Lytechinus pictus: one gene and its partner. The protein of the gene in region 2 interacts with the protein of the main gene of each other region in a pairwise test. Links are inferred from orthologs where the notes say so. Each region holds a gene or a part of one and is shown on either strand. Other genes may lie near its edges. The genes, in order: suppressor of fused homolog and zinc finger protein GLIS3-like.

The links.
Region 1: the proteins of zinc finger protein GLIS3-like (region 2) and suppressor of fused homolog interact in binary tests that used the Homo sapiens proteins (3 or more experiments, as listed by UniProt). The link is inferred for Lytechinus pictus from reciprocal best matches to the Homo sapiens genes GLIS3 and SUFU.

The regions. Positions count from the first base shown.
Region 1 is NC_087256.1:13,528,767-13,546,205, forward strand, and holds the start of suppressor of fused homolog, read right to left. Parts: upstream 7,396-17,439; 5' UTR 7,193-7,395; coding exon 7,047-7,192; intron 3,071-7,046; coding exon 2,936-3,070; intron 1,413-2,935; coding exon 1,273-1,412; intron 607-1,272; coding exon 464-606; intron 1-463. Other genes in the region: alpha-centractin, read left to right, coding at 7,895-7,939, 15,517-15,581, 17,186-17,300. UniProt on the Homo sapiens protein: Negative regulator in the hedgehog/smoothened signaling pathway. Down-regulates GLI1-mediated transactivation of target genes. Down-regulates GLI2-mediated transactivation of target genes. Part of a corepressor complex that acts on DNA-bound GLI1.
Region 2 is NC_087255.1:18,583,779-18,601,080, reverse strand, and holds the start of zinc finger protein GLIS3-like, read right to left. Parts: upstream 9,159-17,302; 5' UTR 9,131-9,158; coding exon 7,430-9,130; intron 1-7,429. UniProt on the Homo sapiens protein: Acts both as a repressor and an activator of transcription. Binds to the consensus sequence 5'-GACCACCCAC-3'.

The DNA of each region.
Region 1 (17,439 bases), on a different chromosome or scaffold from region 2:
CATTAGTGTAATTTATACTGCACTGTATGTACTTAATAAACCAAAATTGAATTGAAGAATTACAACATTCATACTATGAAATTTGTCAAGAAAAAAATAGTATACTTCCAGATATCCCTGTCTTTTTTTACTATAGATCAAATGACCAACATACTTTTTAAACCAAATTCACACTAAATATTTGTTTGATTAAAGCTTACACGAGAAAGACTAGAAGAAGGAGATTAAAACTGTGTTTTGAGTTCAATGCCCCTTTGAGGGGAAAAGAAGAAATATGGGAGAAACACATTATAGGATTAACAAAAATCCAGCAAAGAATAACAGGAATTAAGTTTAAACATTTGATTATTGTGATATCACATGGGAGCTGCCTATTTTCCCATTATATAATGATAATATGATTTATTTCTATTTTATCTTAATCACTCTACATAGAAATGTCTGTGCAATATTCAAGACCTACCTGAACAAAGCTGACAGTTCCATGTGGTGTTGTGATAGTAGGTAATTGAGGATCATCTGACATTAACATATGCTGAATACGAGACTCACTATTATCTAAAGGACTATGCCAAGAAACATGGTCTCCATTACAAAGAGTATTGCCTGTTGAGAAAACAAAAGTACATGTTGGACAAGCGTGCTATTAAATTCACAATTCCGTGATGTTGTTAGGACTGCATCGAGACATGCTTTATCAATATATCCCTGGTGTGTGATATGCATTTGTTATTCCTCTTTTAAATATCACTGTCATTGATAGGAATTTGTAATGTTAATTTATATTTTCTAAGGTTACTTTACGCAATAAAAGTATTAGTAAAGTGAAAATTGCATACACAGCTACGTGGAAAACCAGTGACGTACATTTTGTAAGCATTTTTAATATATGCATATACATGTACATATATGAAATTTTATAATTGTACAGAAAACATCAGGGTGAAGATATCTTAAACACAGATTTGAACATAACTTACTTTTAAGAGGGTGTTGTAAAAAAAAAGAAAAAAGAATTACAATCAACAGCAAGTATGCAAAATTTGCTGTTAAGAGGTGAATTTTACTAAAAGCAAATCACTTCATACTTTCTGTTTCCATATTAAATAACAGAAATTATTGATTTAGGGACTCAAGATTGACTTGTGATCATCAGTTTCTAAATATTGAAATTAAATATCAGAGATTCTTTTTCATAAGAAACTCTAATAAGTAAACAAGATTAAAAAAAAAGAAAAAAATGGATTGAATAAGAAAGATGTTATATCTCACCAGACTGGAAGACATATCTGGCTAGACCTTGCATAAGCTCTGCCGGCCATGTAGGGGGCGCTGTTTCAGTTGGCTCTTTCTTCAACCTGAACGTTAATTCAAAGCCAAAACCACTTGGCCCATTGGGACCTGTAGGTATTCTTTATTTTTAAAAGAGAGAGTTAAACATAGGGATTTTAACATGTAAATCATCACAGCAGCCATATCAGGTAATACATCATATCTTTCCATCTAAATGGATTAAACTTGGTACTTTAGTGTCAAGTAAAGTTTGATCAGAAGTCATTTGATCTAGTCTTTGACCGGTATTTTTTCAACATGTATTATTGATTCTTATTATTTCAAAAATGAAAACATCCTTATCCAAGACTGACATTGTATTATAAAATACTAAGCATTACTTGAAACAAATCTAATGTCCAGGTCTCCATTTTTTTTCTTCAGAAATGCATTAGATATTGTATTTAGAAATTGAGACTTCTACCATTCAGGCAACTCTGATGAAATAGCCTCAGGACAGCTTATATAAAATAACATTTAAACAATGCAAACATTCATGTTTTTTTTTTATTTATAGCCCCTTTATTTGTTATTTCTTCTAGAACTGCATTATGCTCAAACATGCAAAACCATCATGATTATTAGATGTTAACAAGTGGAATGCCTCTGGCCGTCTCACCTGCATCACGCGATTCAATATAGCAGCAGTGCTGATTTTTAAAACTAGTATAACTCGCACAAGATGTTCAGTGATACTTGGTTACTCTTATTTCCACGTTTTATGAACTAGACCAATACACTTATAGAGATATGATGGCAATTCAACAAATACCCCCAACGTGGCCAAAGTTCTTTGACCTTACATGACCTTTGACCTTGATCATGTGACCTGAAACTCGCACAGGATGTTCAGTGATACTTGATTACTATTATGTCCAAGTTTTATGAACTAGACCAACACACTTTCAAATTTATGGCTGTAATTCAACAAATACCCCAATTTGGCCAAAGTTCATTGACCCTAAATGACCTTTGACCTTGATCATGTGACCTGAAACTTGCACAGGATGTTCAGTAATACTTGATTACTATTATGTCCAAGTTTCATGAATCAGATCCATAAACTTTTAAAGTTATGATGGTAATTCAACAGATACCCCCAATTCGGCCAAAGTTCATTGACCCTAAATGACCTTTGACCTTGGTCATGTGACGTGAAACTCATGCAGGATGTTCAGTGATACTTGATTAACCTTATGTATAAGTTTCATGAACTAGGTCCATATATTTTCTAAGTTATGATGACATTTCAAAAACTTAACCTTAGGTTAAGATTTTGATGTTGATTCCCCCAACATGGTCTAAGTTCATTGACCCTAAATGACCTTTGACCTTGGTCATGTGACATGAAACTCAGGCAGGATGTTCAGTAATACTTGATTAACCTTATGGCCAAGTTTCATGAACTAGGTCCATATACTTTCTAAGTTATGCTGTTATTTCAAAAACTTAACCTCAGGTTAAGATTTGGTGTTGACGCCGCCGTCGCCGTCGCCGCCGCCGTCGCCGTCGCCGTCGGAAAAGCGGCGCCTATAGTCTCACTCTGCTATGCAGGTGAGACAAAAATGTGTAAGAAAAAAAATCAATGAAATGTTCTACTCACTCATGAACTCTGCCATCACCAAAAAGATCCGAGAGGCCAAAGCTAACATAGTGCCAATGGGGTGGGATCCCATGACCAGGCTCTCCTGGGTTACTGTACATACTGATAAAGTCTAGTGGGTCTGGTCCATTTAACCTGTAATAGTCAATCAAAGAGAATTAATCATTCAACCAGTTAGGATTATTGGATTCACTACATTGGTATACAGGGGCCCGTTTCTCAACACCGTCATAAGTCTAACTTCTTGACTAAATCGGAGATAGTGAGCTACTTGTCCGCTAACCGTTTCACGAAGCCCTCTTTACCAAGATCGGGTACAACAACCTCACTAAATATTTATGACACCTCCGAACCTGTCATAACTTCTTTCTTAATGACGTAGTGGCATCACGTGGGTAGACTATGACATGCAAAATTGCCTCGAAATTTGAAAATTGTAATCTTACGTAATCATTCATAGAAGTTGAAATTACATTGCAAAACAGGTGTGATAGATCATTCAATAATAATTGCTATGCACAGAAACTATCAAAACTGTTGGTAAAACGCAGCAAAACCACTCATTTTAAAATAGTAAAGTAATTGAATCGATAAAGATTCTACCACGGCAGGTCATCCATAACTGGACTCGTATTCGTCGTTTTCAAACAAAGAATTTGTCAAATCGTGTGTTTCGGTATGTAAAAAAATTTAAAAAAAATAATTTAAACTATATTTTGATGATGTTTGGAACCATAAATAAACGTATAATTATCATTATTTTACAAAGATAACAATTGTGGTTTACTTTCGTAAACTATCAAAATTTACTATCCCGGGGATACCCATCTCATTGTCCCCATGTGAATTTTTAGTCATGAAATGATATATTCATAATTTGATTTTCTCAGCAATTAGATGCTCAAGTCTTCATGGTTTAAGTATGCATGGTTCATATTTTGCCTCTGCTATTATTTTTATTAGATGTATTTCCAAATTAATCACAATAATTGCAGTTTTATCACATTTTTGCTTTTCAAAAATTATGCTATTTTGTGACTAAGGCTACGTCTCGTCTGCTCTTTCTACCGATAGTATCGATATCAAGGGATTCTAGTTAGGAAGCCCTTCGTGAAACGGGTTTAGTAAGATTGGAACTAACTCCGTGGTTGGTGGATAAAGATATGACTAACTTGTCCAGGTGTTGAGAAACGGGCCCAGACCTTGAATACAGTAGCCTATACTCTAATGCATGCAACAATCGTATCATTGAATCAAAATTATTGTTAGATAAATATATTGTTTTGTGACATAACAATGCTAAAATCAGTCAATCATCATGGAATTTAACGGGCTGCTAAACGGTTTTGAAAGTTGTGGGGGGGGGGGTGGTAGCCCAAAGTGGGGGTGCTGACCACATGAAAATTACAATCAGATGGTTATTTTTACGTTTTTATACACATTTATTGCAAAAAGTGGGGGAGGCTTTTGTAAAACCATCCAAACCATGTGACTTTGTCCCACATGCTCAATTTGGTAACTGTTCAATCAAGACTTAAAAATGTGATCTTCCGTCTGTTTGGACAGAAATCTGAGATAATTTTACTTCATTTTCCATTCAATTATCAGAATGAATTATTATTGAAACATAAATTCTGAATTCATTTCAAAGCAGTATGATATGAATTATTTGGGAATATTTTGCAATTTTAAAGGGGTTTTCAGTGATATAACTTTTTAAACATTTTTTTTAAAAGGTAAAATGTACCCGCCCATTTTTTTATATCTAAATTATTTCAAATAATCGTAATGACCCAGCCTAGTCAAATTATTCTGAGACTCTGAACATGAAAACAATGAATTTCTATATCAATCAAGCAGCTGAATTTTACGACCCCAACAAAAAATAAATGGTGTGACGTGTGCTGATCCAATTTAAAAACAGACAATATAAATTATTTACATAACATGTACATATAGAAATTTAATTACAATATATCTCTTTTATCAATTATTTCCTTACTCTTGTAGGATGGTTATTTGGCATTTTCCTATTTTGTTTATTTCATTTAACTTGTGTTTTCTTCAGCTGTTTTACATTTCTGTTGAGTCTAGACTAGAGTTCATTTGCATTTCCTTTCAGCACTGCCCTTGCAGTCTGAACTTAGATTATTTGAGTTTAATGATATTCAGTTGCCATTTATCCTTCTCCACAATGAATTCCTTTCCTCTCATTTTCTTAAATTGTCATCTTCATTCCTTCTCTATTCTCTATTCAGGTGTTCCACTCATTCCATCCCTGACCTGACTCCAATTCCATTATTACATAATCACCCAGATATCCTTTATCATCTTCATCTCATTCCATATTGGTTTATCTTTTGAATTAGGTTCTTACATTTAAGTTCAAACCTTCCATTATCTTTAGTTTGATTGGTTGTTATTTCTAATTTAAATATAAATTTATGTAAATTATACTATCATTCTGAGTTTAACTGAGGCAAAGTGGCCCAGAGAATAAATCAGTGCACTATCAGACTTCTTTGGTTTCTGTTCGATTTATTTGTGTCTTCTACAGTTTCACTTATTTTCCCTTTGGCTGATTGATTGGATAATTTGTGTTTGCTCCTTCGAACTTCTATCATTTCTACCCCGAACTTATAATTTTACACCTTACAACTTGTGGCAGCGGTGGGATTCAAGCCCATGCCATCGAAATGACTGGTGTCAGGCTGAACTTAGGTTATTTGAGTTTAATGATATTCAGTTGCCGTTCATTTATGGAAGAGTTTGCCATCCATCAGGAAGAAACATGGGTATTGCCAGAGGAGTCAACGCATTTGGGGTTCAAAATCAGTCACTCACACTTAATGATTTTGGGCATGATTTCTGAATACATATAGGCCTATGTGCAATTATTCATGAAAACATATTGGTCAAGATTAAGAACCCTTTTTTAGAATGATGAATGGCAACTGAATATCATTAAACCCAAATAATAAGTTCAGACTGCAAGAGCAAGAGCAGTGCTGAAAAAAAATGCAAATGAACTCGAGTCTAGACTGAACAGAAATGTAAAACAGCTGAAGAAAACACAACATGAAATAAACAAAATAGGAAAATGACAAAATAACTATCCTACACTCTTTATTATATTCGCGTTTTTTTTTCCAATTGTAGTGGAGGGGACGTATGTAAGGACCTCTGTCTCTGATTTCGTGAGATGGGTTTTAGCAAGACTGAAGCTAACTCCATGGTTGGGGTATAAGAATAGATATGACTAACTACAGTACCAGTCACAATTCTTCGACTACCTGTTTCAACCGGATAGCAATAGATTCAGTGGACCAAATGTATTGTTCTCTGGTTGAAACAGGTAGTCAAAAAATTGTGACTTGTAGTGTACCTGTTGGTTTTAAATTCAGGTGTGGTGATCATTAAAAAAAAGAAGATTAATATTAGCCGAGTCTGAGAGCTGCGGGCCGGAGCCCGATTGCACGAAAGGGTCTTTGCAAGAATCGTCTTTCGTGTCGCCCATTTATTATGATGCACCATGTGAAACGCATTTTAAATGAATTACCTGCAAACATATTTTAAATTTTTATTAATTTGTTAAAGTATAAACAAAATCTTTGTTTATATTATAAAATGATGTGATAGATCTAGATCTATATCATGAAATCGGATACAAATTGATTTAAATGCAAGCTAACAAATTTTTGTCAATCATACGTTTCACAAATATTCCCCATAAAGCGCATCATAAAAGATGGGCGACACGAAAGACGGTCCTTGGAAAGACCCTTTCGTACAATCGGCCCCCGGGCTCCGGCCCGCAGCTCTCAGTCAGACTCGGCTAATATCACCACACTTGTTTGTTACATTCTCAAGAAAGTATGGCATTATCGTGGTTTATGTCACCAGTCCATTCATTGCCGTTTATTTCGTCAGCGGTGGTGACATCTTTCCACTCCCATTGTCATTGACTTAATTAATAATTGTACACAACGATCGCACACACACCGACACACACGACAAGAGGTGACAAATTTCACGATAAGGCCGCCGAAAGTATAGATTGAATACTCAAAGAGTGGAAATTTTGGGAAAGATTTTTTTAAATTTATTTTACCAGTATTTCACGACGGCGGTCACTTGCAAAGGATTTGGTTGATCAACATACAGCCGCCGACATGCCGAATAGACAGCGTCAAGCCCCGCCGGGAGTGCAGGCACAGGTGCTGTTCCGTGTTCCGCTCCGCTCTGCTGCTGCTCCATTTAAGAAAAGAGATATAAATTAATACGTTAACAAAGCATCAGATGTTCATCAAAAGTGACTTGAGATTTCCAAAATTTCTCTTGAAACGGATGTTCCGAGTTCAAAGTCTAATCCTGTTGATTTTTAGTGATTTTATAACAATTTTAAGCGTGGGATTGAGAGATCCCGTTTAAGGTATTTGGCTGTTGAAATGTATATCTAAACTCCCTTTATAATTTTTGAGAAAAAAATAATAAATTAAGAAAAGATGCAAATATTTTGTTGTCTTTGGGCGAAATTCAATTTATATTAAACATTAGATCGAAAAAAGTAGATTCACTAAAATTTTGAGCATATTTGAAGGAATATTATGTAAAAGAATTAAGGTATATCGCAGTAAAACCATACATGTAACAGCCCCATAGTTTGTAGGCTTTCAAAGAAGGGGAAAAATAAAACATTTCATTGTTAGCAATCAACTTAAATTTGTCGTTTTTCCTAAGTTGTTGAATGTTCAGTTTTAATTGAATTTTCTTAAAAGTATAAATAGATAGTTAATCTACAAATCTATGATAAATAATAATATAATAAAATAGCACCTCAGCTAAAATAACATTTGCGCCCATATTAAGAGCTAACTTTAGTCATTATTCAGTTCCATCTGTGATGTTTAATTGATCGTTTTCCTGGCTGAGTTGGGCGTGTGAGATACATCCCTAAATATGTCTTATGATGTTATTGCAAATCAACCAGTCGTTATTGATAATGTAAGTTTGATTCGTCGACAAGATTTTCATTAAGCTACTACAATGTACCATGTAGATTATGATAAAATGTTAAGTTTTGTATTCTGCGACTTCTTTGCTCGCTGAGCTGAGCTGAGCCGAGTCGGTGACATACCGGTATTGTTGACCGGGCGGTTGTGCGTATGAATGTGTGACTGAGCTGAGAGACTGCAATCCACTGACACCTGGCTGTGTCTGTGCAGTATGCATGTCTTTAATGTGTATCACTGAATTTGAGAGATACAGATCGAGTGATTTACGTGTAGTTGGTCTACCTATAAATGTTTAATGACTGTGAATTACTAAACCCTTAACACAAGGCTCCACATTAACTTTTTTTGGTGGTGGCCCGTTCGGGCCACCAAAACCATCAAATAATTTTTTTTGGTGGCCCGATATTAAAGTTTGGTGGCCCGAAAAATATAAAGAAAAACATTAAAAATTAATAAAACAAACTTCTGAAATATTAATTCTGCAGCCACTACCACTAAGTTACTTTCACTTTATCATCTTGTATTGTATGTAAACCTTGTTTGCTGTTATTTTACTTTGCTAATTGGTTTGTGGTAAAATATAAATTGTTTCTATCGTTGTAAAAATGAAATGATTGAAAGAGAATAAATGAATTTTATTGTTCACAGGTTGTGTGGACTTTTTTTTAATCTCCATATAGACACACACTCATAATGGTAAAGTAAATAAATAATGCATAGCAAACTCAGATAGATGTACAAAACAATGGTTTTTCATTTCTTCCTCTTTGAATCCTGAAATCTAGATTATGCAGGCCCCAAATCCAGTTTATTTCTGTTTTTTCTTTTGCAGCATATTATAGCAGGAGAAAATCACAGAAAAATATGCTGCAAAATTAGAACAATGCATAAAAGGGGGAAACAAATGAAAATAATTTTCAAAAAGTATATTACAAAAAGAAAACAAAAATAATAAAAGAAATAAGTGAAATAAAACAAAAGAAAGAAAATGAAGAAAGAAAAAACAAAGAACAGGGAAAAAAAAAATTAGAGAGAAAAAAAAGAAAAGAAAATGAAAGAAAAATGAATTAAACAAAATTGATATAAACATGGGGAAAAGGGGAAAATTAAGAAGCCATTACGAATGTTTTTTTAACAGCTGTGGCAACAGTCTATTCTGACTGGAATATAATTAAAAGCCAAGCAAATAATTTTCACTTACTGTACCTTCTGGGAATGGCACATTTCTATTTTTATATCCTTTAGTTTGTATTATTTAATTTTCAGTAGAAACATATTTTTTTATTAGGCATATTCAATGGGAAGGGGTATAAATGGTTTAACCACTGTAAAAAAAATGAAAGAAAAAAAATAAGAAAACGGCAAAAGTTATATCTGGAAAAAAAGTGTGACTGTGGGAAAAGTCCTTCCCTATATTTGCCAAAATGTTGGAAAAATTCACATTTCATATCGATGAAATGCCTTCCCAAAGTATTTACTTTCTCAAGAGTGGTTTAAGAAGTCATTTATAAACAAGAAAGAAAGAAACTGTCTGTTCATGTTTGGCTAGAAAAGACACAGCTTCGAAAGAAACCAATTATCAACATACATACAAATGCACATGTGGGACTGTGATGTACTTGCCTATGTGTTTTTATGTGTATTAATTCATTTGGAAATCGGTCTTTTGTAGTCAAAAGAGAGGTCATAATTCCTCTTCTTAATGCTTGCAAATAATCAGGGTACACCAAATTTTCGTAATATAGACTGTAGAATGTCATTTCATTGGTGTAAAATGTGACTTTGACTTAGATTTTCAAAGTTCTGTGGAAGATTTCTTAGCAGCAGCATTTTTTATCGCAGCTCCCAGAGTCTGAATAGGCTGAGCTAGATCTAGAGCACAGCTGTATGCAGTGGCTTCATGCAAACTCACGCCAGCTGGCCGGCGCGGCTGGCTGGATAATAGCTACTGTATGCTATAGCTGTAGGCCTAATATGCAAACTTTGAGTGTGTGTATTTGTGTGTAGATCAACAAAAAGGGCGCATGACGAACTGGCTTGCAATTTGAACTGTAGAATGTTGATAAATGCGTGCAAAATCGGGAGAAAAATTACGCTACTTTGAAAATTATTGGTTGCCCGATTCGGGCCACCAAAACTTAACATTTTATCAATAATGGTTGCCCGAAGTGAATTTCTGGTGGCCCCGGGCCACCGCTAATGTCGAGCCTTGCTTAACAGTATACAAATACTAACCTCGTACTAGTGTGAGTGGCCATGATGAGACATGAGCGCGATGGTGCGAGATTTTGCATGAGGTGAAAAAGAAAGATGCTCTATTCAACGAGGCGTTAGCCGAGTTGAATAGAGGGCCTCTTTCTTTCGCTAAATGCGAAATCTCGCACCATTGCGCAAATAAGAATATTCTTTATTTGTGTTGTACAACGCCTCAGAATTTAGCGAAAATAAGAAAAAACAGAGTTTTTCCCTGCAGTAATCAATGAAAAGGGAGCAAAAATATTGAAAGCGAAAAGCAAAATCCCACATGACCTTGCCCTTGGGCAGCATTGCGCATTTAGCCAGCAGGCTTAAACGCGTATTGCATCTTCATTTTTACTGAGCACAATGAATTAAATCATATTGTCGTGATTGTGACATCACCTAGTACAGCCTTGCAACGTTACATTTTGGATGGTACTTCTTGTGTGCAACGGTACGAATGTTTGACATTCAGCCTCGTACAATCGTTGTACAATCAGCGTTGTACAATCAAAGCTGATTAAGGCAGTGAGCCATATTGTACAGCACTCAAGCAGAATTTGGGTTGTGTCTCGTAAGACTATTTTGATGAAAAATAAATTAGACTACATTTTCTAGAGCAAAACTTATAACGTAAAGCCAAAAATCAAATAAAGAATAAAAGGATTAACGTGTCTGTGTCATCAGCATGATCAGGGTCAAGGACCTGTCACTAGCCAGGAGGCTCCTAGAGAGTAAAAATCTTTACTAACGTATGCTTACTCTCTACGGAGCCAGGGATTCCATCCCATTCATCTGTTTGTACCGCCAAAAAACCTGAAACTTTCTACTTATAAAAGATATAGGGCCCTAAATCATGTAAATGGGATACAACTTCATTTCAGACATTTCTATGCTATCGATTTTATTATAAAAGAGAATAAAAAAATGAGAAAAATATGAAAAGACGGGAGACTTGCCCGATGTTAACACCGCCATCTTGTTTCTTATTGTTCTTCGCCAACGTTACGGACGTTTTTACATAATAGTTTTGTAGGTACCGTATTTTTCGGAATATAAACCGTGGCCATGTATTAACCACACCCCCAATATTGGGAGGCTAAAAAAAAAAATTGGCAAAGTGAATTTGATAGCATTTTTGGTTAGCTAATTTCACTGAAAATCTATGAAAGATCAAAAGATATATTACTAATTCTTGTATTTAAAAAATGGTTGCTTCATTCTTTAACTTTATTTTTCAAAGAATATAAATTATTTCTTTGTAGAATAAAGAAAAAAAGACCATGAAATGGCAGTATTGAATATCAATTTTCTCGATTGGCCACTAACCCCACTATAAATCTGTTGTTTTTTGTTTTTTTAGGGGGTAGTCCTAACTAAAGACTGAAGTTTTAGCTTTTATTGTTATAAACTAGATAAGGTATTTCATTTGGTCTTAGTATATAATGCGAGCACGAAGCGCGAGCTCAAATATATTATGTCCTTAGACCTGAAGATTCTGAGCAGTTTTTATAATTATGAACAAAGGTAAGTATCCAACTTATCAATGCAAAATTTTAATATAGTAACGTGATAAGGGACTCAGTTAGGGTCGACTGTTTTTAGTGATTAATTAAGAGGATACAAGTATCACCAATTAAATAATGAGAGTGCGGAGCGCGAGCTCAAAATGTTTGATATTCCGACCTGAAAACTGGACAGTCTAAACACGTTTTTATTTAGAACAAGCTGTGTGTCTCAAACAAATGCGAGCGCGAAGCACGAGCTTAAATTTTTTATATACTCACATGATAAAGGGGCATTTTGAGAAATTTTGGTAAGAATTTCCAAAGAGGATAGGTATCTCACAAATAAAACAATGCAAGCGCGCAGTGCGAGCTGAAAATGTTGGTAAATATTAACAATTTGTGTAAATCAAACAAAATAATGAAAGCTGGATATGCGAGCTAAAATATTGTGTGCAAATTGATTTCAGAACTGGATATATTAAGTGTCATTTAATCCTCTTGAATGACATTCATTACACAGGCAATTAATGCGAGCGCGAAGCGCGAGCAAATTTTTTTTATGTAAAGTCTATTTTCCAATTCTTCCCCTCACCTTTTTCTTGTTTCCTTTCGGGGTTGGGCCGGCTGTTACGAGGCTGTAAATTACACATCATGGGTATAATACCTCTTACTTTTCTTTCTGTTTTTCATCGTTTCTCTCAAATTAAAGAGTACACTTTTTTCTGCAGGTTGCCAAAAAAATAGGGGGGCCGGGTCGGCCCCCTCCTGGATACGCGCCTGTTTGTGTATTTATGGTGATAGTTTGATGAATTGTATGAGAATGGATCTATTTTTTATAATTGTGTTTAATATAATGGAATTCTTGATATGTGTTAGGTAATAATAGTAATATACAATCCACTACTATACTATTACTAACCTAGCAGATATGTAGGTCTACATGCAGACAAAGGAAAGACATAAAGTGACAACAGTTCAAACTGTCTAACTTAGATAAAGTATCAATACCTGAAGCGAAGAACTGAAAATAGTACACTAGAACTCCTTCTTTTTCTGTACGTGATGTGATGTGATAGGTCAAAGTCTACATTAAAACTTGCAGCTGTGCATGTACCGAAAATCTGAAATGTTGACAGAATCGGTTCAGTTTCATACTGGGGCATCTAATGTGCTTCATGTCATAACTTCTTGTCATATTTACGATTAAGAATTTATTACATAATTTATAGATGAATATCGGAATATTGAATGTTTCTACTAATTTTATCTTAATTTCATGCTTTGGTGCTTCAAGAAAAAGTGTGACTCATATGATATAAATACATGTAGGACCTAATTTTCAGAAGATAAAATTTCTAAGATGATAATTTTGCAACACATTAATGTTTCAACTAAACTTTCAACCAGAAACTCATTATAAGTTTAGAGACATGCTAGCAACCATCAGAGCTGCCAATTAGTAGGATTTTATCCTTTTTTTTGTATTTTTAAGGGGAAAGTGACACTAAATAGGATTATTCCCCTCAAAATAGGATTTTTGAAACATGTATTAAAAAATGATGATTTTTTTGGTATGTTTTTCCAATAAAACAAAACTAGGATTTCAGGCTAAAAAAATTCACATTTAAGATTCATAGCTCTGCATCTATGACCATTTTTAGATTCTATGGTCATGCTGATGTGTCTCAAGAACATTTCCAGACTAAGAATATTTTCCTTAAGATATAGATTAATTTTGCAACATTGATCAATATGATAAAGCTTCACCTCAAAACTCTTAAAGGTATATATTCAACCTTTTCAGCAAAGATTAAGATACCGGTATATAACTTACTACTTAAAAAAGGGAACATATTGTAGTACATGTACCTTTTTCAAGATACTGTTTCTGAATCTGATGACTCTGACTGTCTAAGATTCAGGGCCTTCAGGGGGGGGGGGGCACTCAAATTATATTTTGATAGGGGCGTGCCTCACAAAACCCAGAAATGGGGGTCTAATGAACTGACCACAAAGGTAAAATACGGCCATCTTGGGATCTAGATATATACCGATCGGTGTGAAAAACGGTCTACAGAACGGGATCGCAGTACAGTAGGTAAGGTGCATACTAGTGCTATGTATACGTGCACAAGCGGTGCATAGAGCTTTTAGCGGAGGAAGTTGTGAAGCCATGCATACAGCTCTCCCATGCGGTGCTCGTGCTGGACAATTTTGGCAGGGCTAGGGAACTGAGATGTTTCGTAACGGGGGTCTTGCGAAACTTTTGTCATTCGGAGTATCTAGAGAACTGAAAATTAGGTCTGAAAAAGGGGCCATCAAAGCGGCACATCCCCGTACCGCCAATATGTGAGTGCCCCCCCCCCCCCCCGGGCAGGGCCCCCTTTAATACATAAAAGCTACTACATGTATCATGGTAACCTTGCCATCCAATGGCAACTTTCTTTGAGTCCTTGATTTTGATTGGCTGATTAGCATTGTTACCATGGTAGATACCATTGGATGGTAAAGTAACCATGATAGTAACTAGTAACTTTTATGCAACAGGACCCAGACCTAGAAATGCCAAGAGAGCTCCACCCCATGGTCAGCTTGCTAGTCTTCTTCTTCAGCCTGCAGTCCGTACCTGTGAAAGTACACAATGCAAAATTGGACAGTAACATATTATTATTGTTTTGTAATTTATCAATTTCATTCCTTTAATTATGATTTTCAAAGAAAAAAGGTCTTACTGCTTTGTATAAAGGATATATAATGAAAGCTGTCATCATTTAAAAATTGCTTCTTAAACTTTGCTGGCATCTTAAAATAAAATGTCCTCTTTTAATGAATCATTGAGGTATCATTGTAGGTAACTATCTTTCTACCTTTTTAAAATTAGAATTTTTTGAAATAAGAACTTCAAAGCCATGTGATGCATGTCGTCCTCAACAATACCTTCAGGATCTTTCGCATGTCAGACACTTCATCATGTCCTTGAGCAGTCGTGTTTACTTCACATGCAGACAGTCTTCCAAAAAAGACCTTTGCTTGAGCTGGTCTTCTGCACGTTCAGACCTCACTACCTCATCAAGGGCAAATTTGTTTGCTTTCATGCACCGGGAGATTCCTTGTGAAATTAACTGTTCCTTGCTGGAAAAGTTTTGCTGAGAGTTGAGAGTTGGTACATGTGGGTAGTACCTGTCAGAACATCACTCGACTCTGTGCATTTTTTATACAATGCAGTGTGCACGTGATGTTCATGGCGCTCTTTAGGTTGAATAAATTGTCACTGCACGCACCGCCAAATAAACGTCACATATGTACAAGAAGGGCAGTAATTTTTTTTTCTTCCCTTTTTTTTTTAAAGGATGCTAAAAAAAGAAGTCTGGCATTTCAAGTTTTCCCATTTGTTTCTGGATTGTCCATTTTCAATTCACACAAGTACGAGTACCAAAGTCCAAGTACGATTTGCGTTCATATGGGATAATTGTGCTGGCACTTGTCGGCTTGGCTTCATTCAGGTCATCAGCACGGCCTTCTGCTCCAAGGAATCTGGCTTCACTTCTCTAAGCTAGCTGCGCTGGCATTGGTGATTGCTCATGAATCTTTCTTGATCTTGCTTGGTAGCATTCGTTTGTTTGTTTTTTATTACCTAAATCGCGCATATTTATCATTCCATTTTCTGTTAAAACTCTCATTCATGACTGCATACTTACTCCCATTCATGAGTGTATACCGTACTTAATTCATTATTCAGTACTGAAACTGTAACACAACATACAATAATTACAATCCTTATTGTCATATTTGTATTTCAATATTTTTCTTCTGATTGCAGGGCTCTGGCGTTATCAAGGCGGGATTCGCTGGTGACCAAATTCCAAAATATCACTTTCCAAACTTGTGAGTAACTAATTATAACTTTTAAAGTGTAAATAAGAATACGAAATTCTCATCACATGCAAATCTATACCAAAACAGTGAGATGATGAGCTTGAAGAGAAAAATAATGAATTGAACATTAATTTTTAGTAAACAGAACATGTTGCAAGGTAATCAAATGTCATTCTCAGCCTGAAAATTATAAATAGAGTCATTGGAATTTATATGCAAATGGATGTCAGGTAAATTTGAAGAATGCAGTTACATTAGATTTCAAAGGTATGGGATATAGTGTGTGAATTCAATTGTTCAGAAAATAAGTGAAAGTTAATTATTTTCAGACTGAGCATTGGTTTCGATTACATTGAAACGTGCCTTGTTCGTAATATAATGTCACGTTCTATTCAAGATTTTTGTCTACAAATATAAGTGTCTGGGAATTTTTGACACCTTTTCATAGTGATAATTCAACTTTTTGGTAATAAAGCTTTGGCTTCAAATGATTATAAACTGTATCCAGTCAAGTGATACATTGAAATACTAAAGACTAAAGAGCATTGAGCTTGCTCATCATTTGTTTGAAATGTCAATAAAGGTCCATGCATTATACCATGTGACAATGAGTCATGACTGTTTACTCTTTCAGTCATTTTGTACTCTTTACAGTTCACTAGTCTTAAAGAAAGTAATGCGAATGTGATGTACATTTAATTGATTTCACCCTCAACCCCCCCCCCCCCGCCCTATTCCAGCTGTTAAGGGGAGGATTGACTATTTTTCCATTGCAAAAAGTAATCTGAAACATGTTTTTAATAAAAAGGATGAGATTGGAGACTGGAGTGATTATTTTTGCCATCTTGTTGTCAACGTGTCATCTATTGATTTTCTCTTTTGCGTTCGCGTTTTGTTTCAATTATTGTATTTAAGGGAGGGTTTGACACTAGCAGGTACCTTGACCATCAGACTGGAATATCAAATTTCTACTAAGGGATTTATCATTTAAATGGGGTCTTCGTCTCCATTGCACTTATTTGCAGTGAAACTCTCACAATTAGCATAATTAATTAGTAAAGATATTTTTTTGCAGAATTTGGTCCAATATATTTGTTGATTATGCCATGGGTAATGGGCATGCCAATTTCGTCATGATCGCACGATCGATGGCCGAGATCATAAGGGGGGTATGATTCAGCCCCCCCCCCCCCCGTCTCCTTAGGCGTCGAAATAGCCCAATCTATTTAGGGTTAAAGGAGATGGTTGTAAACAATATATGCAGAATGGACCAAGAAAAGCGATAGACATCATTGCTCTATTCCCCTTCGTCTTTTTGCAATAAAGTTACAAATGAACATAAATTGCAATAACATAGTTGCCTCCCTCAGCTCCCTTATCACTGTTTTATTAAACTGAGGGAACTAAAAAGTGCCATGAATTAATCTCAAATTTCTACTAAATGATATATCATTTAAATGGGGTCTTCGTCCCCATTGCACTTATTTGCAGTGAAACTCACCTAGCTATATAGTGTCCTGTCATTGCTATGTTCCCCTTTGTCACCAGCTCAGCCGAAACCATACATGTACTACTGATTAAATAATGTTATAAGTTCTGTTTTATTTTTGAAGTGTTGGTCGACCAAAGCATGTACGTGTCATGGCAGGTGCCCTAGAGGGCGATATATTCATCGGTCCAAAGGCGGAGGAACATCGAGGTCTTCTTAGTATCAAATACCCCATGGAGGTATGTAGAAAACATATCTGTTAATCAAAGCTTTGTTCAGATTTATGAGTATGACTCTTAAAAAAGAATTTGATTGGCCCACGGGTAGTAATTACACAAGAGTGTTCTTTTATAAGTGATTAAAATCAAAGTTATGCAA
Region 2 (17,302 bases):
AGGCTTGCTTCTTGTTTCTATGTTTGACACTAAGACACCGTTCTCACTACCCTCCTAAAAGTAGTACCCTGGAAACTAGTTTAACGTGTAATGAGAACGGTCAAAGCGATCTTGGAAGCGATCTTCCAAACCGGTTCAGATCAAGATCAATTTGCCTCGCTAAACTTAGCATAAGTGAGGACACAACCATTCATATTAAAACATATAATACATCTATTTTATCAGACTTTTATATAAATACGGGACATCTAATCATCGGGGGGGGGGGGGGGGGGGGGGCAGGTCACACTAGTCTGCAGGCACAGACCCTGATTGGAACTTTGATCAACAAGTGTGCCTCCACATAAAGACTAGCACATACAAAACTTGCTGTTCCAATACAAGCCTTCAGTACACAAGGCATGAGTAGGCTGCACATTCAGACCCTTAATTCAAGTGAAGGGTAATTTGCCCAGCAGACTAAGGTCCCACAATGAGACATTCTTTTATCTTTCTGTACATTTTGAGATCTTAATATTGCAAGTGTTGATTAATAGGCATCCAAACTTGCATGTACAGTATTTCCATGCATTTATTATAACTAGCTTTTGCACATTAAATTCTTTCTATTGAATTATCCCGGATACGATTGCTTTCAAGAGAATTAAATTCACCTAACAAGGATATAAAAAAGTGCCCAAGAGGGGAGATTATTTAAAAAAAAAACAATCCCTTCCATTCACTATTTATTGCTCGCCTAGTAGGCAGATCATGCTTTTTTTGAGCTCTGACGATTAACGCTTATATTCAGCTAGTTCGTTTGATTTCTTATCAATTAATTCAATGCATTCTTCTATTATGTATTAATCTTTATCAATAATTTACTGTGCAAATTTTCCGTACAGTTTTGTAATCAATTTAATCGTATCTGTATTTCTTTAACCATGGATGCTGCAATGTGTAATTCAGTTTTTTTTTACTGCAATACATGTCTATTGAATAAACCATTGAATGAATGAATAACCAATAATATACATTATCAGAAAGAATATATGTCAAGAATATAGACATTCTGCACTTCTCTCCACAATAAAGTTTAAACCCCCAACTCGAGAATTAATGCATTGGCACAGCATAACGCAGACCTGCCAACCTCTGGGAATGAAAAACTGTATTCTGTGATTAAAAAAACTGTATTTTTCCCCAAAAAGTGTATTTCATAATAAAATGCTTGGCGCACTCGCTCATCGCGGCGCTCAAGCTTTGAAACATGTGTATATCTTCACCCTGGTTTGAACAAAATGATTGAAAAAAAAAACAAGTTACCTGAAATTACATTGATCTAATAACCATATTTGTGCACGTTTTATGAAATAGAGACATATAGAGATTATTTTTCTCAATAAATTACGATTTAGTTTTAAAAAAAAAAAAAATGTACTAAATACGGCTAAAACGTACTGGTTGGCAGGTCTGCATAACGATGGGTATAAATCAGTGGAATTGCATTTTTGCCACTCATTTTCTTCAAATTGAACATGACAGGGGTGAACTTTTGTGGCCAAATCCGAAGAGGGGTCCCCACTGTTCCCGATCCAAGCCCCCAATCATGCGCTACAAATTCTACTTAAAAGTGATTAAGAGACCGCAGAGAAATCAAATATTCAGGGATATCCCAGTCATTTTAAGAGGAATATGGAATGCATCCTGCTCGTAAGGAGAATTGGAAGTGATGCCTTATCACGACTTTGATTGTTTGCATCTGATTATTGCCGAGGTTTTCTTGGTTTGTTTTTAATAAAAAAATTGTTATGAAAAAACCCTCCTTTTCATTAAGATGAAAATGTGTTGTTTAAAGATCATACAGGTTTAATTATATTTTAAATGTGTAAAAAGCAGAAAATCAAACATCTAATGTGAAATATTACGTTAACAATCAGCTTTCCATAGATAATACATCTTTGGACTTTTTTGGTTTTTAAGGAGGAAGTCGACCATGATTGGTTTTTTTCAGGTTGGTTTTATCAGGAAGTGGAACATATCAATGAATTGAAGTGAAACTCCTCAAAAATATAAAGAGTTATGAATTTCTAATATTTTTTTAAAAACTTTGTGATATCACATGTAAACAGCTCCTGCTATTACCCCTTTCATAAACCCATCCTCCAATTATCCACCTAAGAGTAATGCGGATAATTCGATAAAAATTGCATTCACAAACTCCAAAAATAATCTGCACTATTTTTTACGAGCGCCCGACCTGAAAAAGGCGGATAATTGTCATGGCAACTGCACACACCCCCTCCGATGGGGTTGTGTTGGAAAAGAGTGACCTGTGACCGCACCATGGCAATTATCCGCATTAATTTGGAAATGCTTTCATAAAGTCAAAATCTGGTCCCGATGTCGCTATTATGCGGATAATTGCAGCATCAAAATAATGCGGATAACTCTGGTCCTGCTCCGATTTTACGACCAAATTATGCGGATATTATCAGCATAAATTTTCATTTTTAATGGTTCGTGCTTGATGATTAAGCATACATGTATCAGGGACAAAATTACACAGGGGCTAGGGGTGATATTGCCCAAAGAGACCTGGGGGGTGTTGCACAAAAATTTAAGTGTGACTTAGAGTCGCACTTAAATTCCCAGTTGCGTACGGTATAGAAGACATCACTACATTGGTCAGATTATGCGCATGGGACGCGCACTACCGCCTATCCATCAATCTGATTGCGCATTAGATATCATGTGCACGTCGGCATTTAAGTGCAACTCCAAGTCATACTTAAATCTGTGTGAAACACCCCCCTGGAAATTGAAAAAAGTCCTGTCAAATCCCCATTCACTGTTAAGCTTATCCACTGTAGCAGATTCAGGCAGTAAGTTGTGAAAATTAGCCACCAAATTTTTTTTTTAAATATCATTTGTTTTCCCCTGACATATATTTATTTTTTCACAGGTTTATGAAATATTATGTCTGATAAGTGATATGGTAAAATTAATGCACATTCTTGCAATTCATTATCAAATAAAATTGCAACAATTCATGAAAACACTGGAAAAAGGCACACATCAGACACCATTTTAAAGTAGTTGATGTGATAACAGCCAAAGATATCCCCATTTTCCATAATCTATGTCTTTCAACATGTATTTTAAAATGTCACATTCTACCTTCAAGTCTTTAAATAATTGATGTTAATGCAACATAAATCAGCAAATCAAATCAGCAAATAAACGACCTCTTGGGGGAAAAACACTCAATTCTCCTCCCAGTGCTAACGCCAGGCTCGTCTGTCTGCTTCGGGTCAAACATACTCTATAAATTCACACCCCAACTCTTGGTGCACTCATAATAAAATATGACCCAATCTTGACTCTTTTTCTCTCTAAACATTTGTAAAAGTTATGAAACTGCAAGAAAAACTCACACCTCTGAATAACCTTTCTAGCTCCCTAGGCTCCCCATCCCTTAAAAAAAAGACCAACAAATGCAGAAGGGAGAAATATATGTTGCTTTCATCAGACAAAAATATTTGCACCCTTGGGGAATTTCTTTCCTCTTTGCCAAGTGATGTAGTTGACTTGAACCTGTGGCAAAATCTGGAGTGATTCATGATTTAAATACATGTGTCAGCAAAGTCACATTTTATTCTCAGTTAAGGGTAAGGTCGTATTGCAGAGGAATTAAGGTAAGTCCAACATAGGTTGCAAGAGGACCAGTGAAACAAGTTAGGTAATTTATCAATGTTTTTGTTTTGAAATTTTTGTGTAAATATGATGAATAAAGACCAAGCGACTCAGACGATATTTGGTACATGTATGCTGATTCATTGGAATTTCGAGAAATGTGTTACGTGCATATTGATCTGTACAATTGGATATTACCATTTCTTTTATATTTTGTTTGTCTCCATTTCTATATTTCTTGTTATATCTGTATCATTTTCATTTCAGTCAGAATAAGATATATTGATCTGTTTTACATCTAAATATGAATTATGTTTCATGTTCTTTTCCTGTCAATTTCATTGCATTGTGAGAATGAATTTAAAATGAAATGAACGTGATTAGAAAAATTAAACTAAGTACAAGAGGCCCCATAGACTAAATGTTGCATATTACTGTTATCACCATTAAATGACAACCTTCAATGCAGATACTACATATAATAGCCTATTTCAACAAATTAACATAAGACCTATTAAAAAACAATTTTTTTTTATTTACTCTTGTAAATGTGTACTAGCTTCCTAGCCAAATGGAAGATGAAAAATTAATACAGTATGACAGCTTTTGCAGTATGGTAGTCTTTGCATTTGTAGATGAGATTAGATTGTCCTTGACATACCAAAAAAGAAAAATAAATGTTATTCAAACATTTTTTATGGCATGCATGGGAGGATTCCGGATGCCGCTATTCTCTTCACAGTTTCAAGAAGCTTGATTCGAGACAACCTCCCAAGTCCCATGAGCGCACCCCTAACTCCCTACCGGTAGGATAAGGATGAGGAGGAGTATGGGAGATGCACAAGAGAAGAACATAATCTGAATGTGACATCTCGGGTCAGGGGTCACAGGTCGCAAGGTCAAGGTAAGAGACATCTGATAAGACAAGACAACATCTTTATTTGTCTTCACACTTTCAATCCCGTGTGTCCTTGCTCATCTCTCTTCACCCAGAAGTCATTTTTTCATTACCACCGCCATCTTCTTCTTCTTCCAGTTCCAGATGCTTTATTATTTTTTGCATACCTGGAGGAGGGGTGCAATGGGTGTGGACTGAAAAGCCAAGTTCAGTAGCCCAGTTTGAGTACATCATCTATGATCTAGCAAAAGACCCAAGGATCACGCAGGCCTACGTAAATGTATGCCATTGTATCTGTCATGTTTGATGTGTGTGTGTAAAACTTGTGGCTGAATGGCTGGGGAAATAAGGCCACATAAATGGGACATGAAGTCACCCAAAGTATTTTTTTATTTTTTCATTGAGCTAAAATGAGGACATCCTGAGCTCAAAAACAATATATAACTTGGCACATTGATCAACCCATACAAGTTCTTGATTGAATGTAGAAGAAATTTAGTGAGATCTTCAACAAATAGGGAGAAAACAAGGTTTGAAGTTTGGGGTTATATTTGCATAAGGTGCATTCACTGTGAAACTTTCAAGTAGTCAAGAAAAACTCCTGTATCTCGCCAATTATTCAATTTTACATCTTCAAATTTTGACATTATGAAGATGAAGAGTTACCCTTTCATGTAAGTGTATTTCAAAATTTACTTTTTGGAGACCAAATCACTATTTTGGCTATTTACAGAGAATATTCCCTGGCAACTTATTGTTGGTTTTGGAGTGGCTTGTCACACACATTCTGTGTCTGTACAGATGCTGGAGAAAGACTGTCATGATCGAAGAGTTTTGGACAGGTGCGAGCTTGGCGGACTCAGGGTCAAGGTCTAAAACCTGATGACATCACACAAGGACTGGTCTAGCGCTGACCCAGTTTCAGAATGAGAGGGCAAAGGTCAAAGTCACGGATCTAAAGCTTCTAACCATTGAACTCCATCAGGACAACGACCATGGTTTAAATAATTCAAAGACAGACCCAGTCGCAGAAAGCTTCGCAATGGATCATGGGGCAGGTTTTATGATTTATCACTCGAAGCAATCAATCATAAAAATAGCCTCACAACATATCATTAGGCTCTATGTTATAGAGCCCTGTACTGAAAAATCATATCTAACTCAAATGTATTGCTTTATTTTATTGTTTTCTAGCTGTTGTAAGGACCTTTTAACTCACTTTATTTGATCTCCATAAAGGAGAAATAACATCATTTTATTGATATAGATAGCATTTGCAAGACATCTATTTCACTATATTAAAGGAAATCTGCATGGAACAGAAAAATTGAGATTATAACATATCAACATTAATTTTCACGAATTGAACTTGTATTTGTGGTCCTAACAGTAGTTCTCTTTGAGATACATATATGTTTTTTTTTTAGCAGAGCAGGGGAAATTGCAAATTGCAAACTAGCGAGGCATCGGGCACTGGCGCCAAAAAAGGGCAGTCGATTTATGGCAAGGTGATAAACTGACAAGCAGTGAATGAATGGAAGGACAAGACAGCTCAGATTCGAGAAAGAATTAAAAGAGTTTTCATCTTTTCAGGAATTTCTATTTCTGTCACATCTGAGCAATTCAACAGATGGTGCAAGAAGGTAAGGACCCTGGGGAGAGGGTGCACAGATATTAAGATCAGCTGAATTTTATGATTTCCGCAGAAAAGCCCTGTAAAGTCGTCCACTTATTATGAGTGAAGAGAAAAGTTTACTCGGTAATCGTATCTACTGACTTAGTGATTGTTGCATCGATTTTGTATCTCAACCATCAGAAATACTTGGGCAAAATTTAATTTGAAACATTAATGAAACCACAAGAACAGTGCCAGCCACACAAAAAAATGTTGTTAGCCTAACAGTTAGCCCAGTCACATCTTTCGGGTTTTGAAGACAAAACATTTATTTCAATGTGTAAGTAATGCATTGTTGCAACATTAGGCATCGCTGCCACATTACCGGCTGTATTAGTGTCTCTGTTAGCGCATTGTTAGCGCTAACAACGTTTCTGTGCAGTCAGTACAGGTTGTTTGTATTTTCTAAATGGTTCCTCTTTAAAGAATGAAACCAATTTAAAAAAAGAACACAATTTCTTATTTCAAAAGTTACCTGGCCCATCTTCATGCAAAACATTAAAAGATGTTTCATTTGGTAAGGTGTTCTAACTTTTTTTTTTTCATTTGGATGTTTGTCCTTAAAATGGCACATATATCGAGAGAAGTGTTATTATTTTTCCCAAAATTACAATGAAAGTATGATTGTTTAGAAATCATATTTCTTTCCTATTTGAATTCATCCTCCTTTTGAGTATTTTGTTTTAAGAAACAAAGCTTATAGAAGCAAAGTATAACAATTTCTGCTGCTTTATAACAAATAATTAACCTTTTTGGAGGCAGAATTATTCCTTTAACACTGTGACAGGTGGAATAAAAATTGATTAAGAAGATGGCTTCCTCAATGAATCAATATTCTGAATAAAGATGAACCTTATCACAGACTATATACTTATATGCTCAAATAGATACCTGTGTATTACATCGCAATGTGCTCCACATTTTTAATGACCACTATGAAAACTTCCCTCATGAAGCAATTTCTATATGTAGGACTACACGGAACATAGTTGACACCTTTATAATTAAAACCAGAAATGCTAATCAAATTTGAGAAATAAAAAAAAATTCTAATCTAAATAATATCTTATTTTTGGAGAGAGTAAAATATACAGTATTGTGCCATGTGAAGACTTGTAATCAGTATATAAGATATCAATTTCATGTAAAGACAAGGTTAATTAGTTGAAGTGTCTACTCACTGTGCATTTATTTGGTTTTTCTCCTGAATGTACACGCATATGAATGAGAAGCTTATAGCGAGCGTTGAAAGGCTTGAAGCGTCTCGTGCATCCCTGCCAGAAGCAAGTGAAATCTTCCCCTTTCCTCTGGTCGATATGCACCTTCTCTATGTGCCTGACAAGTTCTTCTTGCTCCTCAAAGAATGCATTGCAGTCGATCCACCTGCATATCTTCTCCTCAACCTCCAAGCCGAGTTTGGGGGTGGAAGTGGAGATGGGGGAACCGTGGGGGTTGGTGTTGATGATGGGGGGCGAGTGGTTGGCACTGGACTCATAGTGCTGGGCATGGTAAGGTGGAGGAGGGGGCATGTTGGCCGGGAGTGGGTGGGTGGTCATGGTTGGGAGGTGTCCTGGTGCCGATGCATACTGACCAGGGACTGGAGGATTGTAGTTGCCCTGAATGGGAGGATAGTTGTTGGGTGGGTAGGTGGAAGGCTGGGTGAAGGTGGGGTTCTGTTGGTATGTCTGAGAAGTGGAGTAGGGTTGGTTTTGAGAGAAGGATGGACTTTGCTGGGGGTGGGTCTGCGGTGCGTGAGGGGAATGCTGAGGCAAGGCTTGTGGTGGGTGCGGGTGCTGGGGCGGCACTTGGTGAGGTTGTTCCGCACTGGGTTGGAACTGTCCCTGAGGATATTCCTGCCCTTGCGAAAAGCCTGAGGTTTGGTTGAAGCCTTGCTCGATAGGCTCCTGTTTGTACACCTGGTATTGGGGGAAGTTGTTTGAAAATTCTTGTAGAGCTTCCTCCTGTGGCTGCACAATCAATTGACTGTTCATCCCTGTTCCATTGGTCATGGTATTTGTGCTTTCCATGGCTTGCATCTGCTGCGTCACGATCTGTGGGTCTGTGGCTGCATAATGCTGTGGCACCTGCTTTGGCTGTTGATAAGGAGGAGGCATCTTGTCTCCATTCACAGATCCAGCTGCAGACACTTGGATGATCCCAAATGAAGATACCTGTGACATGGGACTGCTGCTATTGCGAGCAGACAGGTGACCATAATCGCCTCCCGGAAAAACCTGGAACGGTGATATTGAAGCAGATGACCCTCTTGAACTGTTGATATAAGCCACCAGGGATGTTGGACTAGTACGGATTAAAGAGTTCAGATCTATGCCTTCAGCGGAAAGGGGAGACAGAGACAGTGCCCGCTTCCTCGAACCCCAGGCAGAGTACGACCTCGCAGAATGTCTAGGACTTGCAAAACTGGAACCTGATGGTGAGATTTCAATGGGGAATGGGGAGAGGGAGTTGAAGCTGCTGGCGTAATGAGACATGGCTGAACCTGGTGGCATCAGAGTCTGGTCAGCAACGTCACTTCCTGCCTGAGATCCTGGCCCACCACTATGTCCTTGACGATTGCTGCCCCATTCCTGCTTCACGTCAAGGAGATGGTGTCTGTCACTGGATGCGCTGGTAGGGGGATGGTGTCCTCCTTCCTGCCCAGGATTCCGAGGTGTAAAGCGGATACTGGAGATATCACTCGCCGTTGGTGACATGCTCCTCTCAGACGTGCCCTGCCGGTGATGAGTTGTATTGTTGAAGCCCTGCTGCTGGTTCTGGTGGTTTCCTGGCTGGCGGAAGCGGTTCTGTCTGAGGGTGGTACCTGGTACAGCTGGGCTGGGCATCGACTGGGCATCATTAGCATTGGTGATGACCACTTCCATACCGCCATATCGTCCATCTGCAACATAAAAAGGCAGTCGAAGAGAAGAACATATTAGAATCAACACCCAAAATACTTCTGACATACATCATATTTCTGAGCAAAGTCCACACCAAGAGTCTACATGATTCTCAAATGTTTATAAGAGTGTCTTATCTGAGAGTCAATACAATTATGAATTGTCCTATCAATCCGGATCTGATGATATCAAGATCAAAGATCAAGAAATGCTTTGTATAATGGTAAAGGTATGTGAGCATTTCATAAAGGACTTCATTCACAAGTATGATATTCATATCTCAACAATACACAATGATTATTGATGCCATGGCAAATTCGGTTTCAAATTTATTATTAAAATTCATTATTTGGTTTAAAAGTGATTATTAAATGCTTAGTTTCCAGGGTAAAAATAATTACAATGTATTAAAGGGCTCAATAGAAACAAAGTATTAAGCACTACATAAATGTAAGTATTATTATTATTAAGTCATCAAATAGCATATTACAATCCATTTCAATATAATGTCAGAAGAAAGTGATATACTTCAAAGTAATACATTTTTTAAGAAGAATAAAGTTCTATTCACTCCCTCTTAGCACATTTTATTTCCCATTTAGACAGGATAGTATTATATCAAACAAATATCCATAGTGCTGAATTCTGAATGATGCATACACCATTTATCTCTCTTGCATGTATCTTGAAGAATAGAAAGGTTCTTAGGAGGGGGGGGGTGAACTGGTATCTGTACACCCCCACCCCACCTCATGGGCAAGGAAAGTCAGTTATCCTCCCATCCATACAATTTGCATGTAGGCCTATACTTCAGTCCTTTTTTAAAAGGTTCCATGACATTTTTGCTCCTGTGACAATTGCTCTGTTTGAAAATCTGCACATTAAGCAAAACATGAAACCTAACCTCCAAAACTAGATAAACCCTAATCTTATACCCCTTTCATAAACCCAATAAAACCTATCCTCCAATTAGCCGCCTAAGAGTAATGCAGATAATTCAATAAAAATTGCGTTCACAAACTCCGAAAATTATCCGCATTATTTTTACGAGCGCCCGTCCTCAAAAAGGCGAATAATCGTCATGACAACTGGACACACCCCCTCCGATGCGGTTGTGTTGGAAAAGGGTGACCTTGTGACCGCACCATGGCAATTATCCGCATTATTTGGAAATACGTTCATAAACGCAAAATCTTGTCCCGATGCCGCTATTATGCGGATAATAGCAGCATCAGAATAATGCGGATAACTTTTGTCCTCCTCTGATTTTACGACCAAATTATGCTGCTATTAGCCGCATAATTGGGTTTTATTGGGTTTATGAAAGGGGTATTAATCTTTACATCATTCTAAACCAAAAGCTCTACTACAATCCTAACTCTAACCCTATGCCTTCTGAGATATTAAGACAGGAGCAATTGTCGCAGGAGCAAATTTTGTGTCACCATTTAGATAAGTGTAATAAACATTTTGACCAGTGCGAATTCTTGAAAAAAATAATCCAGACGGCGGGAAGGGTGGGGGGGCAGTGAAAATGTTGTCAAACACAGGAGAGAAAAGGAAAATAAAGAAGGGAAAGAATATGAAGAAGAAGAAATAAGGTCAGAGGAGAAAAAAATAATTAGAAAAAAAGGTGGATGGCAGGTGCTTTTTAGTGAAAAGACCCTTTCCTGTACATTCTGCCCATTGACTACAGTATCACCACAAAATTCTCTTCACATTTCAAAGCTCAAAGTCAATGTGGCTTCCTCAGTCACGGGAAAAGGAATAACTGGTGTAAAAATTTTCCAATCAAGTTTAATATTACAGCCTTAAAATTGTTTTAATGCTGCATGTTTAAAGCTCCAATAAACTTTAAATGTATAATTCATTTTAACAGTGAATGACTATTTTTGTTGAATGTACTGCCAAATTTTGACAACTTGATAACAAATTATCAACCCCATCCAATTTGTACTTTGTTCTTCTCTTTACATATTGTTAAATCTTTGAAATATCTTCTCTCATCTCAATTTTCATATCTCTCCATTTTTCCAACATTCTAAATTCAGGCAATGCTTAGGGGAAAAAATAAATCTCTCCAAGGTGCATGCCCCTGTTTTGTGCATATGTGCTTTCTCTAAAAAAATATGCTACATAATCTCAAATCATATTTTCTTCTATATTTTGCAAACACCGGATAATGATTATGTTTATCGTGACACACCTTGTACGATGGGAAAATGTACTACATGTATAACTTGAATCACTAATTGGAAAGAAACATTCTAAGTATGTAGAACATAATTTCGACAATATAAAATTGTAGATAGATCATAGAGTTATAACTAGGAAAAAAATCATTTTCTGGAGTAAAGTATTTAGCTATCTCATTTTAAATCCAACAGCTAACTGAACTTCATTGGGGTCTGTATACGGCCAAATGACTACAGTAGGTGGTTTCAAACCACCTTGATCACAAGAATCCCCATTAAATTACGAGAACATGTCTAGGCTAAAAAATACCCATTTATTATTCCTGCATTCACACCGCCCCGAAACATACCCTTCGGGATAAATTCCTGAAGTTAGGAGCATGCGCAGTATGGTCTAATAAGCAAGTAAGGCGCGAGATTCAAAACCACTAGCCCAGCAGCCACCCACGGCGCCCGCGCCCAATGACACGCTGGGCTAAAAGTTCCCGTAAATTGCTTTCACATTGCCAAAATACCTGCGACCTTGGAAAAATCCCCGCGAAAGTTCTCGTAATTTCCCCAAGTACCTACTATTTAGCGGGTATTTTCTTTCGGGGAAATTACGCGTAGTTTACTTTCACATTACCAAAATACCTGGTATTTTCTGATCGGGTAATTTCCCGATCAGAGAATACCTGGAACTGACAAACTTTCAGGCAGTCTGAAACCACCTTATGTCTAACCAGGGAGTTGTGGTCTGGCATATAGGCCCTCATACAGATCAAAGCCAACTTGCAGTTACTTTATACATGTAGTTCATGGTGCTTTCGACTTGTAACTACTTGTTGAATAGAGATGGAATCAATATTTACTAACTTCACAACTAAACATTCTTTCATAATTCCAGATCATCAATGCAAGCTTACAGAGGTCAATATAGCATGCTTTCAGGGATCGTTTAAGTCATCATTAAAAACAATCGATAAGTCGCATCAGATACACACTAAGAGATAAGGATGGCTGACAAAAGGCTGACGATCTTTTTTCGTTACACAGCAGGGAGTGGGGATGGATCGAGCCATACCTGGCTATAAGCAGCATGACATTTATCAATCATTCACAACTCCACTCCCAAGAGAATATGGATATTGATCTTAAAGCTACTCTCATACAATAAATAAACCACCATAGAGCGCAGATCTAAATCAAGATAAGAATACAACTTTTTCGACTTGCTACCATCTCATTTTTGGTTTATTTATCTGTATTTTGTGAGGCAGGAATAGCATCACCTAAGCTTGGTTTCAACATAGTGTCAACAAGCTGGAAAGCTGACATAGCAAACAGTTCAATAGAGTTCCATCTTTACAGAACCTATGGGAAGGGAGGCCCAAGCACATAAAGAATACAAGGGAAAGAAAAGACCTTTGAAGATTTTTAAAAATCTGAAAAAATGTACAACTAGCCATCTCCCTATTAAACCCATCTTTAGAATGGCTTATTTTATCAATTCATTATTACTATAGGAACTAGTTTCCACACGCTTTACCTCATATCTGTTGTAATACAACTATGAAACAAACAAGTAAATCAGAGCAATGTCAGTCGCATGTCTCAAATCTAGACCAACAGCAGAAACATATTTTTTATTTATTTTACTTGAAAAAAAAAAACAATTCATGGAATTTTGAACACATGACATAATGGAGGAGCAGCTTGGATGTGACATCAAACTAAAACTTCAAAAATCTTAAAATCATTTTGTTATTCTCCGATGGATTTATATATCCACACTGCAAAAACTTCTGTGTTGATTTTACACCAGCCTGGAATCTATATGTCCACACCAGAGAAGTATTGAAAAAACACCAGTTCGGAATCAAACCGATGCTGTTTTAATACTAATTGGTGTTGTATAAACACCTTTCTGGTGTTAGACCAAAACGAAACTGGTGTTGTTTAACACTTCTCTGGTGTGGACATATATAGATTCCGGGCTGGTGTTAAATCAACACCGGAGTTTTTGCAGTGCATTATCGTTACCCGTTTCTTACATTTTTCTGCTTTTATAAAAACGTACTTGATATAAGGGTGAACTTCCCCTTTAAATTTGAAATAGCTCAATCAGCAAAGGCACTTGGGGGTGAACTTCATGATGAGGCCAAGAATCTGATCATGGGGGTTTCTTTCCAAAAGGAAAACATTTTTTATCAGGGAGAAAGGGGATATCACAACTACATATATGAGTTCTAATCTCTTCAAGTTACAAAGCCAACATTCCCCCACATAAACTGTTAACATAAATATTATTTCATTTGGTCTTAAAATATATTTCATATGGATGAAATATTTAAACAAAACCATCACTTTTAATCATTTTAATCCATTCAGAAATATTCAAATTGCTTGATAATCTATAATAGATTATCTCCAAAACATTGAAATTAGAATGTTATCTGTTTCTTTAAAAACAAACAAATAGGCCTACACTTTAGCAGAATGTCAATAAAACTTAACTACATAAATTGTTTGAATCAGATCAACAAATTGAAGGGACAATCATATAATTATTGTTTTTTTAATGAAAATTCCAAGTTGCATTTAACAAAAAAACAAACAAAACAGATCTGGCAAGGTGCGTGGCCATGTGGCCTAAGGCACCCAACTACACCATGAAGTCCAGGGTTCAATTCCCGGCTGGCAATTGCCCAAGGCATTTTTATCTACAGCGCTCTTTTATCTTGCATCAAATAAATGAAAACGTATTAATACCAACATGTGCACATGTTTTGTTTTGTATTTTTCTAATTGTTCAGATCTAAGAATTTACCAATGAAAAGTGGTTTCAATGGATCACACCCGAAAATAGCCAAAATTTCTTCCGACATTGACAGGTAGATCCAATTTTCTAACTGTTAACAGTTATGCTAACGGATTAAGAACCACAAACTCTAATCCTCTCTGGCTTTCTTAATACCCCTAAAGCTGTCCTTTTAAGATTGTGAACAAATAAAGTTGTCACACCTGAAAACACTCATCCCATCTTGAGGTGGTTGGAAGTCCTTCAGGTGAGGAAGCCAAAACCTTCAATAAGTCACTCCCCAAAAGAAGCTCCTTAAGGGACTGAATATGGCAAATTTCTCAAAATTCTAAAAACTATCACTCTTAGAAGTCAAATAATAGAAATCCTTGCTTTTACAACTATCTTATGAAGAGAGGGGGGGGGGCATTCTAAAAATAAAGTAAAAAATCCTGATCAGACACTTTCCAATTCACACTTACTGAAGTCCATGACCTGCCCCCATTGCCCAAGATTTCCCTAATTTCTCTCTCTCTCTCTCTCTCTTTTTTTTTGGGGGGGGGGGGTGGGTAAAAATTAACATAAAACTGTATTAAATGGCTGTCTTCACTTGCTAAAAGAAAGTACTCAGATGAAAAGAAATCCTTATAAGAAATCCTTATGCATGATCCAGACTACTTTATGCATCAATGCTTGTTTCCTAACATCAAAACCATTAACATCATCGGAAATTTTGGTAACACCAGATCATAAATGCCTGAAAGTTTAAGCAACAACAGGACTGATAGGCTCTGCTCCTCTCTGAGGGACCTGATGAGAAATAATGTTTAACCCACTGGAGACTGATTGATTTCACTATAGCACATGTTTTCCATTGACTTCAGCTTGCATATATGCAGGCTCAGTGTCCAATGGGTTAACCAAAGAACATCTACACAACAAGAACAGTGTAAGGCCTATAAACTACAAAACTCACCAAATATGATGTCATCTTTATTTGTATATAGAGTATCCATGACAACCATTGCAAAAACGTTACTAGTGCATGAAATCATTAAACATACAGAGATGTTGTAAAATGAACATGAATGTCTGATTGTCATTAGCAATCTAATAAAACTCAATCCACGATTGATGAACAAAAATGAATTATAATCTAGGTCATGTTTTATGTTCAGAGCAGCACAACTGGGGCATGAATAGAGTTGGGCGAGACGCTCGCCAAATAAACAATCCAGGAGTTTTGATGCCATTCAGGGCAAGTTACGAATAAAAAAGTTTCAAGTTTTATGGACACTGGGAGAGACAACCTGATTGGCCGTGAAATTGAGACACCAAGACCTTGAACACAGACCACTAAACCAGTAAAAAGATAAAACAGATGAGACAAAGGTGTAAAAGAGGTGGATGAAAAGAACAAATAACTTGACATTTGAAAGATCATGATAAACATGGGTGTCATATGAATAAAACAGATAAGCTCTAACTTGTATAGCGATACATCAATGTGAAAGAGAAATGAAACATATAGGCCTACAGTGGTTTCATGACAAAGGCTCCGGTGGCAATTGCTCCACTGCAACTTCCACACATTAATCGAATGACCAACTTCAACCCCAGAATTAACAATATATACCTTATCCTAAACCTATCATAAAACCCTATTACAACCCTAACCCTATATCTTAGACGAAATAAAATCCGGAGCATTGTTGCCGAAGCAAATGTGGTGTCATCCTTTTAACAACTCCTCATGTATTTCATCATGCTTACATATTCTGACAAGTTTGTTCCTTGTGTGGACTTGTGTTCACATCTTACTGATGATCAAACGTTTCCCTTTCCCTAAATAGTTTCTTTTCATTTTGGCATTCTTTTCTTTTCGGCATTCTATTCTTTTTGTGAGAGCTTTGATATAGTCTAGTAAAAGTGCAATGTGATGAAGCGGAAAATCCTAACAACACAAAAGATGGATCGATAGAGTTGCCTTAAAAGAATTCTTGTAGTAATTAGGAAAGTTTTCTGGAAAAAAAAGTTTTGGATTCAAGACACTTCCCCCAAGCTGACAGTAGAATTTATTCTATATTTATTTAAACAGTACAATAGATGAGTTAGAGTTGTGACACAAATCACAAGAATGAAATGATGACCAAATGATTGTATTTATAGTCTGGATAAATTAATATCATGTGCCAAATGATTCTGATATGAACAATTTCTCAGCACTTGGCAGGATAAGCATGGGTTTCTCAAATCAGACTGACATTTTTCTACTTCAGGTAAAATATATTTCCAAGTTCAAAATAGATAAAAAATACTTTTCTTAGCACTAGTACTTGCATTCTTGAGTTTTATTTATCTTACTTTTTTTTAGTAAAACAATTGGTCATTTTATAGTGTACAATGTTAACTTACTATCTATCTGCACTGAAGGCAGAGACTCCATGTTTCACTGATTAAGAGTGCAGTAGTGGTGAAAACCTGTCACCCAAATTGTGAAATTATCATGTTGATGCGGTTCACCATGAAATCCATCCCCTTTCAACCAAGATCCCAAATAAAGGATGAAGCCATACCGCCAGATGCTTTCTTATTTTTGCTTCTTAGATCTTCAATTGATTCATAGATCAAAATTTGATTGAAGCATGAATTCTTCTGGATGACCAAAGGAACAAGATCCAAGCTCAAGGGAAACACCAGAGGGGTCTTCTTCCAAATTCTTCAAGGTGATCCAGAGATATCCACAGATCCACTGGACAAACAGAAGAGAAGCATTGGTTTGAAGATTCCTTGACACCTAAGAAACATCATCAAGAATCACCCATCAACACCAAAATCTGCAAGTCCTGATGGCCTGGTTGGTCTTTGAGGCAATTCAAAGCAGTACCAGCACGTCTGGCGAACCTTTGAAATCTGGAAGGCTGGCATTACTAGTGTGGAAGCAGACGGTATTGGAAAGCTAGATGGGCTTACATGTACTTCTAATATCTTTACAAACTCAAGAAATGACCGCACTGATGAACATTTGCTTCATCTGGATATACAGAGTATGTTTTGCTCTCAAGGGGGAAACCTGGGATACAGTGCTCTGAAAGGGATTCAGATGACAGAAACCGTTTTCAATCACTAGGACACCTTTTGTTCTGAAATGTATCTCTCTCTTTATTCATTTCAAGTGCT